Styela clava: one gene and its partner. The protein of the gene in region 2 interacts with the protein of the main gene of each other region in a pairwise test. Links are inferred from orthologs where the notes say so. Each region holds a gene or a part of one and is shown on either strand. Other genes may lie near its edges. The genes, in order: ATPase GET3-like and Golgi to ER traffic protein 4 homolog.

What was found.
Region 1: the proteins of Golgi to ER traffic protein 4 homolog (region 2) and ATPase GET3-like interact in a two-hybrid assay, tested with the Caenorhabditis elegans proteins (2 studies listed by BioGRID). The link is inferred for Styela clava from reciprocal best matches to the Caenorhabditis elegans genes cee-1 and asna-1.

The regions. Positions count from the first base shown.
Region 1 is NC_135257.1:15,085,255-15,093,204, reverse strand, and holds ATPase GET3-like, read right to left. Parts: upstream 2,729-7,950; 5' UTR 2,681-2,728; coding exon 1,655-2,680; 3' UTR 505-1,654; downstream 1-504. Other genes in the region: ATPase family AAA domain-containing protein 2B-like, read right to left, coding at 319-465. UniProt on the Caenorhabditis elegans protein: ATPase required for the post-translational delivery of tail-anchored (TA) proteins to the endoplasmic reticulum. Recognizes and selectively binds the transmembrane domain of TA proteins in the cytosol.
Region 2 is NC_135259.1:14,902,156-14,910,065, forward strand, and holds the start of Golgi to ER traffic protein 4 homolog, read right to left. Parts: upstream 3,053-7,910; 5' UTR 2,788-3,052; coding exon 2,669-2,787; intron 2,324-2,668; coding exon 2,245-2,323; intron 2,109-2,244; coding exon 2,027-2,108; intron 1,242-2,026; coding exon 1,086-1,241; intron 518-1,085; coding exon 379-517; intron 260-378; coding exon 119-259; intron 1-118. Other genes in the region: meiotic recombination protein DMC1/LIM15 homolog, read left to right, coding at 3,571-3,624, 4,223-4,267, 4,787-4,936, 5,274-5,356, 5,838-5,932, 6,085-6,249, 6,814-6,887, 7,010-7,124 and 1 more.

The DNA of each region.
Region 1 (7,950 bases), on a different chromosome or scaffold from region 2:
TTTTTTAATATTAAATTTCTAATAATAATTAAAAGTTTCAGGATCAATCTGTGAAATTGAGTTTATTTGAAATTTGAAACCCTCGTGTCATGGTTGCGAGTCCCACTTCACAAAAATAAACATCCATGGCTAAGGATCCCGGGCCAAATACATGATAAAAAAAGACGATGCTCTGGTGCCAGAGCTATAGACACAGTACCGGTCTCCCAAATCTGGAGCCAATGCGATTCCAAATCAGCTCCGCATACCCTGGGTTAATTCATTGCTAACTTTTTCTATCCAATCTCAGTGAGTCAAACATAAATTTAAAATAATTACCGAGTCACGTTGCTGTTTTGTAGCTCGAAAAGATTTATTTGCGGAATTGGGATGTTTCCTTATATTACTTCGACGTCCATGAATAATTCCTTTTCTTTTACTACCGACATTATTGTCCAAACTGTGACTCCTCCTGGTTGCAACCATTATTTCACCTTATACATCTTAATGACATTATAAGATAAATTCTAAAATAACAAGACAAAATTATTCCAAGCAAAATGATCTATATTTTGATTTATAATATGCACAATAACAATAGATATTTTGATCACAATTATTCTCAAATTGAGTCTGCTACGACATATAATGCATACTTCAAGAGAACATACTATGACTGTATACAAATTGAAAAAATAAAACATTTCTCGGAACGACAACTGGCAGTATTTCAATTTAGATTTAGCACGATTTTCTTTAATTCTTAAAAGTGCTTCAGAATCAAAATTAAAAAGTGATAGCAGAACTATAAGCATCTCTTAAAAACGAGATCAAGCTATAACTAAAATTACAATGCTCTATGATTTAAGTTTAACTAGACTTAACACAATTATAAAAGAATGTGACAAGATTTTTCACTGACATACTAGCTAAAGCCAAGGTTGTGTACTCAAGTGGGGTTTGTTTTTCAAGATATTATTGTGACATTCTGGCGACTTGATAAAAAACTATCAAACCTATATTTCTACAGGAAACTTGATTGGCACAAATTTTCAGTCCGGATAAAAGAAGAAAGTCCAGAAAAACATTAGAAAGTAATAGTTGGTCCAACTCAGAACATAAAAATTTACACAATTTCAACACATCACATAGATAACCTTCGACAAATAAAATTTACAAACATTGTTCACATCATCTATAGCCCATACTACAAAGCAATCACATACTATTACTGAAAGTTTATAATAACACGAGTTCATTTCCTATTGATACATACTTCACCGAAAGCATACATACAGTATTTATCACCATCTCTCAATTCACAGTAGTATCAGTGTATTTGTTATCAAAACTTATGGCACTGTGGGAAATATTTCCACTGAAGAACAGCATAATTGCCATAAGACAAAATAATGTCAATCATGTTCAATTACAAATAAAAATGTCATCCCATATTCCAAATTTTGCATCAAAATTACATCTGTCATTGATTGAATAATACAGGATTCGGAAAGTAAGAAAGATGCAGCATGAATGCCTAAAACTAAGTATCACATATACTGCAATCTTAATAAAGCTGTTTGAAGCGCCAATGACAGGTGCTCCAAATTTCAAATGGGATACAAGTATGTGACATTAAAATGTTCGACATTCTGATAATAAATTGTAACAGATTTTAATCTTTCTGGAAGTTTGGATGTTGTTTGATTAGATATTGTGAGAAGTTCTCAACTTTTTCAATTCCTCGAACTTCAGATTCAAGTAAAGGCATTTTTATAATGTGAAAATCTTCATACAAATCTTCAATTTGGTCAAGATATTTTGCTTGTAGTTTGCGTCTGGATTCACACAACTTACATGGTTTCTCTTGGGTCTGGGATAAAAGTTGGTTGACAATAATATTATGGGTATCTATCCCAATTTTTGCCAAGTCTTGAACAAGACGTTCAGTCTCATAAAGTGATAAAAATTCCGCAATGCAAACACAAACAAATGTAGTCATGGTTACGTCTTTAAATTGCTTATTAACTTCTCTTATTGTCGGTAAAATATCCTCAATTTTCCCTGCAATGCTTTCTGTATTTACTTCATCTCCAAGTCCAATAAATTTTCCCATTTGTGAAACAAGAGGACTTAATTTATTTTTAACTTTAAGTAGCTTTCCCAAACCCTTTTCAACCATGTCAGGAAAATTGAGAAGTCGCAGGGTATGACCAGTTGGAGCAGTGTCAAAAACAACAACATCAAAATTCATGCTTCTTACGAGCCTCATAACTTCAGCATAGCTGACAGCTTCATCAATGCCAGGAAATGCAGCAAACATTTCCTTCATTAGTTGTTTCCCCATACCAAGGAAACTATCTTCGTCTTCGGCAAATTCATCAGGAAGTTCAGCTGTACCAAGATTTGGATCAATTTCCATTGCAAATAAGTTGTCAAAGCCGGTTACTTTTGTCGGAACTTTAGAAAATTTTTGATTGAATGCATCAGAAACATTGTGAGCTGGATCTGTGGATATGATCAACACAAGATCACGAACTTTTGACAATTCAACGGCAAGACTGCAACTGCATGTTGTTTTTCCAACACCTCCTTTACCACCAACAAAAATCCACTTAAGGCTTTTCTCATTAACAATGTTTTCTAATGTTGGGGTAAGTGGTTCAAGATCATCTTCTGCATCATAAAATTGTTCTTCCATATTTCTAGTAATGATTTACTGATTTACTTTCTGTAACATTAATGAGAACATATCAATATGTAACACGAGAATATCGGTTGGAAACCGAAGACTTATCGATCGATAGTTAGGGGATCCCCCAAAACAGAAACTGCAGTTTCGATTCATCCGCTCTTGTAACTTGCGCACTGCGCATCGCACACACACACTCGGCGGGTTTCAAAATTCTCTCGCTTTACAAAAATCTAGATCACTATATCAATAATTGATTGATAACTCGCTAATTATACGACATGATTCGCCCAAAATCAATAGGCTTCTGGTCCGAGATAAGATGAATGCACATGCAAAATCTGGAGCAGATTCAATCTCGCTTTCGTGAGATATCGCGTGCATCTAACAGACACACACACAGACAGACAGACAGACAAATACCTATCAATATACTTACCTTAAGATCGATAAGTAAAAAGTAAAATGTGACTACATTAACTGATTATTTCGCAGAATGGCATATTTTCAGTACACTTATTTGTATCTTTCGCTAAGAACGAGGCCTTACAATCAGCCACCGATATCTAACGAAATGTAGAGATCTACTAGTTTTAAAGGCTCGGAATCTCTCTGGTTTTGCATTGCTTCGTCAATTTATTACGCTTTGGGAGAGTTGGTGGGCATGGGATTTGAACTAGCCTAAAGATACGCAACCTGCAACACCAGCATATTTAAGTCCAATGCTTTTCCAATAGACCATCGTGCCCAAACATGGAAAAATATTTTATTACACATGAGTGATATGGCGCATCACAGAGAACACAGGGAAAACTTCACCTCTTCAATTAAAAATACAATATGAACGATTTCCATAAATTGTTTTACTTCCTACAAATTGTCTTTGTAGTTTCCACAACCAGACATTGGCCATATAGTTTGGCCAATTGTAGTGGAAGATGGCAAAATTTGCTACCTCACTACAGCACTATGTAAATTAGGCTCATTTTTATCTGGCAAAAATTGTATTCTCATAGTAACCAGGGAAAAAAAAAGCCAAATAGTTTGGTTATCAATGATCTAGCAAACCATAGCCCCTTCTAATTTTACCAGTCCGATATTTCGGGTATGACCTGGTTCTGACACATCACATACCGGTACCGGTAATCACTGCATCCGTAGCTACGGTACCGGTACCGGTACGTTTGGATAGCGAAAAATAAAATTTAAAACTAATGAAAGCGACAATCTGAAAATCGCAACATGGCTTCGCCTCTTAATCTATGCACTATGAGAGTGTGGAGCCTGAACAAAAAATTGAACAGAGTGATATTCGTACTTCTGTACCTACTTCCTAAGTCTACCATCGCCATTCGCCAATCCAGCAGTCGCTGGATCCAAAGTGACTATAACACTTTATTATAGTCACTTTCGCTGATACGGGAAGATCGTAGTGCCCGCCAGGCGCCAACAGGCGCTTCGGAAACGCTCTGACGTCGTTTATCAGTGCGCCCGACGCGCATATATCAGTATATATTTACGGGCAGATTGATCCATGAGATGAAATGTATAACTGAAATTTTAATATAAGCCTTCCCTTATTTTTTTTACCACTAATACGGATCAGATCGATACACCTGGAATCCAGCCCAGAGTGTATCGACGGAAGTGTGATTTTATACCGATCATTTTCCTTGCCAAGAAAATATCACCACACCACATAAACTTCCTCTCATCACATCCGCTATATATTGGATGGTATTATCTTAGTAAAAAGAGAGATTTCCGAGCGTTTCATACATACGATCTGAGCTGCAATTTATGGTGGGTTATTGTAGTCTATCGTTTATTCTTCTTTCCAATTAGTTTCAGTGTAAAATTTCACGTGTAAATGGTTTTTTTCGCCCATCAGTATTTGTTCAAATATCAACCAAAATAAGTACTTGCCTGCTCTGCAGATCAAAATATCTGATTGTACGAATGTTAGGCGAAGCAAGTGGATCAATATCCGAGAGAACTAATAATGCAGAAAGAGCAACTCTTATTCCAAAAGATCATATGCGTCGCCAGAACTAGATACCCTACCGCAAAACGCCAGTTCTGATAATAGATGCGTCGTATGCAGCAAAATTCACATTATTGCCAAAAAACCAATCCAGCTGCTAAAGACAAAGCGTTGCTGAGACGATGCGAGACAGTATATAAGTACAAATACTGTAATGAGTACCTATATATAGGTAACGAAACCAACAACCATGGGTATAACTGGCAAACAAAGTGCAATATTGGATTTAGAATGTGTCTTTTATCTGCATAATATTTTCATGTTCTTCATTGTTCCGGGCACAACAAAGTGCAATATTCAATTCAAAATATTTTATCAAGCAGTCTTTTATGTACATACATTTTTCATGATCTTTATTGTTCCGTTATTTGCTAATAAAATCACAATCTTGTTCATATTGCGTATACGTAACCACAACTTAATGGGGCTTGAGCGGGCAGTCAAAGACAAAGCGTAGTGCGAATTTTGAATGCGTAGCATCGGGTTAATTAATTACTCCCTACGGACATTTAAATAATAACATCTCGACGTAACGTCATTGCGGATATCGTCACGTTTAGTTGCATTTGCGTAATATACGTAAAGTTGTGCGTGACGAGACGTAGCCTCTCTTCAATGAGAACATCATTTTGACGCAGCGTCGCTGGTAAATCTACAGATAATCTAATATATTTGGCCATAAAATTTGGATGGCTCATCGTAAAATCGTTTTGAATACGTATATAAAAAGCTATTCAAATTCTCCATATATATTGCCGATTGAATATTTGGCTATTCAGGCAAGAAGTCGAAATTCTTTATATTAAATATTTGTTATCATACAATAATTTCATACGCACTTTCAAATTGCCAATTTTACTGCAACATCGTATATTAGAGCACCGATATTTACAATATAATTAGTCCCAATAACAAGCTTTTTTTTAATACTCATTGTGGTTCTTGAGATACGAGATCATAAAGTCGATTCCTTCCGACACGAAAAACAAGCCGGTAAACCGGCTTGCCGGGGCACAGAGCGTACTCAAACAAGCCGGTAAACCGGCTTGCCGGGTTCAAGTGGTTAAGTCCCGGGATTCAAGATCGTGTACCTTTACCTTCACACAACCTTCTCCTTTTGATGGCGGATTGATCGGTGTATTTCCAATAGTTGAAGTTTGTGACGCGATGCCTTCCTAGTATTTGTTGATTCTCGTTGTTGTGGAGTTGAACTTAGTGTTCTACTAGGGCAGGGGTGGCATACCTATGGCGCATGCGCCAAACGTGGCGCATCGCATGATTAGAGGTGGCGCATTGCATCTTTAACCCTTTTCATGCCAAAATTGTTAATTGCACTTGGCTTCTCCACGCCAAGCCGTTTTTTTGCGATTTACATGGTGACTTTTGATTGTACCTAAAACCTATTCTTCTTACTCCACGTCGCCCACTTACGACTTGTTGGAATTAGAAACAACAGGCGATTATCGACGTTAGCTTTTGGATGGACTTGATGACATTCATTCTAGACTTTTAGCAAAAATTAGTAAAATTTACTATTTTTTCCCTACTGAAGTAAAAAGTTCAGAACTTCTGGAAAAATAGAAAATCGTCATTTATCAGCTTGAAACATGGATTTTCCATTGCCCAGACTTCCCAAATATCTCCCAATAACCATTGAACAACCAGTTGAATTGCCCAAGCCTAAAAAATCTCTTATAAATCAACCCACAACATGCTGAAAATGACCCCTAAATACCACCTTTTCCATCTAAATTTCAAATGACCATTGTCAACAAAAGCAAAGCGTAAAATCGCTTGCTGTGACGCAGGTACTAATCTCGAAGAAGCCCCTGGAGTCAAATCACGCGACGCTAGGCCAAATAGCTGATTAGCAAAGGCCAATTAGAATCGAGGGTAGAGTGGAGTAGAGATTGATACTAAGGGCCTGTTGTCACAATATTACGCCTAACTTTACTTCTTAATCGTACCTCACATAAAAGAACACCGTGAATGTGCTGCTGGTAATGGCAATTTGGCAATATACACAGAAAAAAATCAAGTTATTGCAAGAGTTATTTGAAAGTCGTTTTCATGATATTTCAAAAGAAGAAGACTCTATACTTGCTTTTATAAACCCATTTTCACTTAGTGAACTAACCATAATGAAGATGCCAAGCAATATACAATTGGAACTAATTGACTTGAAAACTCATCCATCATTGAAAATTCAATTTGATGAGCTTTCTTCGGTCCCAAGTGCATCTGACATGATCAAGTTCTGGCAATCGTTACCCCGTGAAAATTTTCCAGAACTGAGAAAATTTGACCAGGGTTTTATATGTCGTTTCGGAACGACATATAGATGTGAACAAACATTTTCTGCCATGAAACTAATTCAAAGCAAAGCGAGGTCAAGACTTACAGATTTAAATTTGAAGAATGCACTGCTCCTCTCAGTAACAAACTTAACTCCAAGAATAAAAAAACTGGCGAAAGTAAAACAGCAGCAAAAGTCTCATAAAGGCGGTACTTAAAATTGATCAGTTTTATTCATTATACTTCCTTGCTTAATTTCTATTCATGTGAAGTTGTAAATTGTAAAAACTACATATACGTGTGTATATATGTGTGTGTATCATAGATTTATATAATTTCAACAAGACGCGGACATTAGGCGTGGGAATACAAGAGATTTACGGCGCATGGTATGTGAAAGGTTGGCCACCCCTGTACTAGGGTCTTCACATCCGGACTAGTTCACGAGCGTTTTATACATACGATGGGAGCTACTATTTATGGTGGGTTATTGTGGTCGATCATTTTTTCTTCTTTCCAATTAGTTTCAGTTCCAGAGTGGTGCAAACGAGGATTCAGAGGAAGATGTTTCTTCTCGATTCCGTTTGTTTGTATAGTCAGTTTCCAAAGTCGAGTGGGTTAAGTCAAGATCCAGTTGTCGTGGCAGAGGCATGTTGTTTTAGCTGGAGCGGAGAGGATCCCATGCGGTGATGCGCTAAACAAAGAAGGCGGTATTAAGTCCCGGGATTTAAGATTGTGAAACTTTACCTTCACACAATCTTCTCCATTTGATGGCGGATTGAACGGTGTATTTCCTATAGTTGAAGTTTGATTAAGACGCGATGGCTTTATGGTATTTGTTGATTCTCGTTGTTGTGGAGATGGACTTTGTGTTCCTCCAGGGTCTTCACATTTGGACCAGTTTAACTTACTTGCATCCGAGCTAAAAGATGAAAATTCA
Region 2 (7,910 bases):
AATTATTTAATTAGGCAATTATTTAATAATTAAATTATTCATTAATATCTGCTAACTCAAGCTACAGCTGCTGAAATATGAACCGATGTGAAACTACGAACAAAAACTAACGACTTACGTTTCAACAGCTGAGAGAAGAAAAAATAAGAAATTAAGAAGAGGAATCGTGAATGGCCATTTCTTTCCACATCTCGGATGTTTCTCTGTGTATGTATTAAACGCATCACTAGCTGGTTGTTTCGCTTGAATGCACAATAACCTGTTTTAAATATAACTTTTAATAAAGAAGGAGAATAGTCGTTTTATTTTGAAATAAATTTAGCTTGAGCGAAAAATTAAAATTTGAGTAAAAAACAAGTAAAATACATTATATCTCACTGTAAAACGAATTGTGCTATAAAAAGATCATCTTCTTCTTTCTTCCCATGCTGGACTGAGAATTCAACTAACATTTCACCAGATCCTACTCCATCATTTGAATATAAGAAATGCTGTCTGGCTTCGCCATACAATTTTTCTATAAATAGAAATAAAAATAGATTTTCTTACTCAGTATTGAACGGAAGATTACTTACTAAAAACTAGAGTAAAGAAAAAGGTTGTAAATTGTAATAATACTATTTTATACACAAGTTTCCATAAAGAAATATATCATGCCTTCAGCTGGAAGTTAGGATTCACATATTTATCCTGGTGGAAAGGAAAGGATTAGACGGCTTAATCATAGGGTGAACCATGGCTTCACGTCCAGTTACCAGTCCATGTCGGGTAAGGGGTTTAGGTATTCAGTTGTTTGTTTTCAGATGCATGGACTTGATGGTGGAGGAAGACGTAAGCCGTAACCGATGATTACTTGAACCTCCTTCTCGGCTCTCGCACATAATTATCCCCCACAAAATTCGAACGAGCAAACAAAAGTGGAGTAATCAGAAGTGGGGTATAATAGAAAGAATAGCATTATGCAAGTATTACTGATGCGCTATGAGCTATGTAATAAAAATAGCAGATGGCAGTTGACAAAATACTAGTAACATTTTTGGTCAATACTACATTAACGATATATGTGCGTAAAAAATACGAATTACCTTTCCATAGATTATGAGCAAACGCATGCCTTATTTTTGCATGGCCTGTTTTAGGAACACCATCAGTATGTGTTGACCATGTAATCGCTTTCACTTCAAAATTTGATAACTGTGGATGAGATACACCAATGTTCTTATGAAGATTCCCGATTGTTACTGCAAAACGAGAAGTTTGTTAACTAATATAGCATATCAGTAATGAATGAAAAAACCTTTACAAATTGCATATTTTTTTTTAATTTGAATCCCTTTCAACACAACTGCAAATTATTTTCTGCATTTTTGTGTTCAAAGAATTATGATGATATATCTATAGTTCAAATCCCAAAGCCCCCACTCCACCCAAGGTGTCTATGTAAGAAATGCTGAATTGCGAAAATTTCGAAAAGATTCCGGTCCTTCTGAATTATATCATTGGTTGCTGGTATAAGGTCATGTTTGAAGCAAAAGGCGTGAATGAGCGCCTGATTGAAAAAAATCTCGGGTAATTCACAAATCCTCGAGTAAAATAAAACATGGAATCAAACTAGCTATAACCCCTGACACAGCTCCAAGTAAAGATGCCTATACCCAAATAATTTTCTGTTCTGTCAAACTAAATAAACGATACGCGGCGGTGTGGCTCAACGGGCTAAGCGTTAGGAATACGCTCGCCACCGCACCTCTAATTACTCTGCGTGGGTTCGCAGGTTCGAATCCCATGCAGGGATGGTTATGTGCGTTGGGTGGTTCACGTAACCGCTGGTTGGTTACGGCTTCCTCCACCACCAAGTCCATGCTTCCGAAAACAAACAATACAGTAAAACTAATCCCATACCCGACTTGGAATGGTAACCGGACGAGAGGCCGTGGTTCGCCATATGGATAAGCCGTCTTATCGGGTTTCTTCTCCTTGGGATAAATATGTAAATCCTATTCCTATCCTATGTGATAATAATTACCAATCAGCTCTTCAGTCACTGGAGCTTTAGCGGATTCCAACGAATCTAATAGAAGCAAGGATAAATCAACTCCACTGCCACTCTGTAAATTTTAAAAACAGTCATAAACGACAAACATTATTGAACCGCAACAAGAACGCTTCGTCACACTTTGACATACTCCTGATAACCTGAATGGCACAAAAGTGATTTTGACAATGATAATAATGTTTTCTTACCTCATTCTTCGAAAAGAACAAAAAAGCCCCAGCTTGCATTAAATTCTGAACTTCTTTATGCCTGTTTTGCGCCATATATCTGAAAAATAGTTATGATAATTATACTTTCTAATAACCACACTTTCTCGATATCAACATCTTGATTTCGACACTTATGATGTACTATGGTGCATGAATGTTTTATAACATGTAGCAAAAATAATAGTAAAACAAATACTGAAACTGTGAAAGATAGAAAATGAAAAAACATTGTCTAAATTCAGAGTTAGAATGTTAGATGAATTCATATACCGTTTTGTCTGCAGGGTCTGCCAAAAATAGTTAAAACCCTGTAACCTAATACTACAATATCTGAATATAGACTACAGATATAATAACTGACAAACATTGCGTTTGAGAATTTAGAAAATAAAACCACATTCACCTGGAAAAAAGAGTTCTGTACATCTGATGAGCTTCATAGTAATTTCCATTTTGAATACTTGCTTCCAACTTTTTTTCAACGCGGCCCACTCCCCCTCGTCCCCCAGTATGGGATGCCATGACTTTCTGACGCTTATTAGTGGGCTCTTCAAAAACAGGTGTTGAGCGTTTGGCCGACGTGTTGATTTTGACTGTCTTTCTGATTTAGGCTATGAAAATAATCCAGAAACGTATTTATCGCCCAACGGCGGAAGGAAATCAATTGACAGGGCTGTTCATCAGTGCACACATACAATCAATAAATTCGGGAATGAAGAAACGAAGTCGCAATGAGGAACAAATCGAAAAACAAATTCGGCAGCTCGTTTTCTTTTCTGAAGTGCGTAGAGTCCCACAATAAACCGTGCGTTGTAATTGCAATAGCATGGTTGAAAATAACAATAAAAATGATTTATCCTAAATCAGTTTCCTCATTTAAATATTTTTTAAAGGTAAATTCTAAAATTTAGTTTATTTATATCGTAAAAATCATAGAATATCAAAACAAAACATGTGGAGAATTTGTTCAACCGGAGCATCTATATTAATGATATCATAATTTTGAAGATTAATACTGGACTATATTTTTATTTCTTTTCTATTTTTGAAAAAATGAAAAGATTTTTATAATTGTTAGAAAAAGGAATAGTTATACATAAAATGCATGGTTTGCTAGACATTGTAAGTCCGTCATTTTGAATGCAAGTAATTCATTTCAAAATTTATTCTGGCAACTAATGTCACCAGACGACTTCGTCGCTTTTCCGCTCTTCCTGGTCTGAATATTCGCTTTGTCATTCGCCCATAGTTTTTCTACTATTCTTCATAAAGCATTTGCACTTTATTATAAATATTAACGTCGCGATGCAACAACAAAAAGTAGTAGATTCGAATGCAGAAGACTTCAGTGATGGAGAGGTAAGTTATAAGATAGTTGCAGAAGTGCCGGTAGGTTTGGTTAGAAATACAATATTTTCCGCATTTCATGTCATAGGAAATCTGTGCAGTTCAAAAGCAATATCCCCATAAGGGAAAGGAAATTGACGCTACGAGCGTAACTCAATCTAATACATAAATTCTTTTAAAGACTTTTATCCATCCATCACTGTGTCTTATTATTTACGACTTTTGTTAGTATCTTATGTTTGACTTTTTTTTTCTTTGTATGATTTAATTTTAGATTCACTCCCTTGTAGGTGACGCTGCTCGATAACCATCCCTGGTTTATCGCGTCTCCTTTCACGCTGAAACGTATTTTTTTATATCCTTCGTATCTATGTTTGTCCATTGTGTACTTTTTGTATGTGATAAAATAAACTACTGACTGACTGACTGACATCCTGCCAAACCATCTGAAGTAAAGTAGTCTGGGTAAACTAAGCTTGACTAGTTTGGTTATACACATTTCCAAAAGTAATATTCATTCCATCTAATTCCAAATGTGAGATCAATTACTATCATAGCTTGTATGGCATCGCAATTTCCGATCAATTAACAAGTCCAATTTTAATTACAGGAAGCTACATTCCAAGATATTGATATGCTACAGGATCAAGGCATCGTAAGTTGATAAACATTTGAAACGGAATTTTAAAAAATGACAATCTTGTTTTTAACTATTTTTTATATTTTTCAAGCCTGATAACGAAGATCTAACTTTTGCCATGTTCATGACGTTTCAATTATTTTCAACATTTACCCCAATCGATTCAAATTAGTCGTTATTTACGCTGGAATTCAACTCTCATTTATGTCTATTTGAGGCTATTACAGCTTCCGTTATTTTCGAAAATATCAGAGCTATATAATATGATTTCCGTATTTAGTCCGGGAAAACGAAACGGGAAAACATCTTGTCCGGTTATCTGTATATGTCGGGTATGGGAACAGGTATTCGTTTCAGATGCAGTATTTTTGCATGTTACCTAATTCCCAGATTCAATGTAATGTCATTTGCATATTAAACACCATTAGTTTTTCCAAAATTGTTTATTACTACATGTATGTATGTAGTAATAAATGTATGTATGACAAATGGCAATTAAACGCTCAGTTTGATCTTCGTTTTATTGAACTTCAGAATGCGGCAGATTTGAAAAAGCTCAAAGCAGCGGGAATATGCACAATAAAAGGCGTTCAAATGACTACGAAAAAGGCTCTTTCTAACATCAAAGGAATCTCCGAAGCAAAAGTTGAAAAAATCAAGGAGGCGGCTTCAAAGATGGCAATTGTAGATGAGAGGTTTTATTGTTATTTGTCCAGCTGGCGCGTATCACCAGGTCATGTTTGGGACACTGTTTCCACGCCCTATTACGATAAAGTGCTTTGATACAGACGGATATCGAATCGAAAATATTTCTCATTTCATTGGCTACAATTTGCGTGAATATTGAAGTCCGTAGTTTGAATTTCTCGCAATTTTTTTCTTCTCCTATTCCATTACAATATTCAAATATCACATCAAAGCCGATAATATACCTTCGAAATATAGATCAAGCGTAATCTGGTGATACCATCCCCGGCTGGTTTATAAAATTTTGGTAGCGCAAAATATTTACGAAATTTAGGATTCTGGGTTTATGTCTGCTCTCAACTTCAGTATGAAGAGAAAGCAATGCTTCAAGATTTCAACTGGAAGCGAAGACTTAGAGTAAGTGAACTTATGTCTCAAAGTTATTTATTAACTATATGTTATGCAGGGGCGTAGCCGTAGATTGGTTTTGCCCCCCTTTGAAATTAAATTAAAATAAAATCATCTTTCTGTATCATACAACGCTTAAACCTCTCAAGACTCACGAAAACACACGTTCTCCGGACTCGCTAGCTGTTTCGATCAAACTTAAAAAATTCTAATTTCAGAAGCCCCCCCCCCCCCCCCTTTGAAGATCTCCGGCTACGCCACTGTGTTATATGTAGGCATCAGCCTATTTCAAAAGACAGCAAGTTCAGATAAAAATTATCTTCTGATCAGTATTATCATGAAACAATAACACACCTTATTATAATTATTAGTAGTTAAAGGTTTGTGACAATCACCGAAATTTAGTCGAAAAAGTCTCGTCACCAGTACAACATCCAATCATGCCTGAAGCCGGCGTTATCTATGTATTAATTTTTTTTCTTTTATTCAGCAAACTTCTAGGAGGAGGTGTAGAGAGTATGGCCATTACTGAAGTTTTTGGAGAATTTCGCACAGGAAAAACACAAATTTCACATACACTGTGTGGTATGTCCAGTCCGTTTTATATAAAATCTAATTCCGGTATAATTTGCCCATTTATTTATTTTATATATTAAATTAGTTCGCCGGTAATGTTTATCACCATATTCAGTTATTAATATTATATGATTTACTATTATTACATTTTTCTTTTTTAGTTACAACACAAATGCCAGGAGCGATGGGATACACAGGAGGAAAAGTTGTTTTCATCGACACGGAAAATACATTTCGTCCTGATAGACTTCGACCTATTGCCGATCGTTTCAATCTGGATCAAGCTGCTGTCTTGGACAACGTCTTGTATGCTAGGGCTTACACAAGTATGTATTTATTTTCATTACATTATGAATCTTTCGGCGAGTAGGACATGTCCGATATGATTTGATTCGCGTGTGAAACCAAGGTTTGTTCGGCAGTGATATTTGTTCCGATTTATCGCTCTTGTAAATTTATCATTCTTCTGAAAAATAACACTGGGGGCCTATTTTCGGGAGAGGTCTTATATTTTCATTTATCAAAAACAAAATTACAAAGTAGAGAATTACGAATTATGAAAACCGATATCCATTTACTTATAAATAACACGTTTTTATTTAAAATAACTGCAAAACATAGATTTCTTGCTATTGACTATAGATAAAAAAAAATCGCGATGTTGACTAGGTCTTATTCAAGGGGGAGGGCTTATATTAAAATCTTTTTTTAAATTCAGGCTAGGTCTTATTTTTGGGGAAACACGGTAGCAGTATAGGTTCATAAAATAATGTAAAAAATTTCCAACATACTTGCGTGCCAATGCCACGTCCCTGACATTTTCCTTGTATAGTTTATATTTATAGATTCGATTGACTGGCTCTTCAATGACCACTTTATCTTACTTACAGGTGAGCATCAGATGGAACTCCTTGACCACGTTGCCGCAAAATTTCATGAAGAAGCTGGAATTTTCAAATTGCTGGTATAGATTTTTTTATCAAAACGGACAAATCCATGCACAGCGAAAAATCTATTACGTAAACTTGGCATACCGCGTAACTAGTGACAAGCTTTTTCTTTTGTAAAGTATAATCTTTTTTACAGATCGTGGACTCAATCATGGCACTATTTCGTGTCGATTTTAGTGGTAGAGGAGAGCTTGCAGATCGACAACAAAAGTTGGCTCAAATGTTATCGAGATTGCAAAAAATATCTGAAGGTAAGATGAAATCGGTGGTTTGCCCACCCTGATAACTTCGTCGCTTTTGTCGATATTTTTTACATCGTGTGGCGAATGCGGTGTATTTCATTGTTAAATTTCTTGATCGTGGTTTTAATTGGTACTACAATTCCACAGTTTTGAGTGACACAGCAGTGTATTTGATAAATGCACAACAATGGCAGACTCTTTCTGTTATATATCTTTGCGATTTGAAAACAAAATAGTCACAAGTTACAGATATTGCGTAGCTTATACACACCTTTATTCCGTATTGACTAGAGTAGTAGTATTTTTAAATTAGATGACTTTTACCAATCTTCCTATTTTTTTTTTAGAATACAACGTTGCCGTGTTTGTTACAAATCAAATGACAGCTGATCCCGGAGCCGCAATGAGGTAACGATATTCACTGACGTAACGTCTGTTTGTATTTTATTAAAAAAAAGTTATCTCACCAATCCAATACTGCGAGAAATATAGGAGACCAATATTACATTACTTTCAAACAGAAAAAATTATCTTCAATGAATATTTATAAATTCAAAGAAAATTTGTCGTGACATAATGGTCAAATATTTATATGTAATTCTGAAAACGTCATTATTACAGTGATAGCAGAATTGAAAAAGCAGGTGAAAAATATCAGTTGGGCTTTCCATAGTAATATTACTCTCCCCATTCTGCCGATCGGGACATATTTTTCACTATGGTTTAATTTTTGATACATTATATTTATGTCTGGAGTCTGATACAGACAGTATATAAATGGCGGTGATAACATTT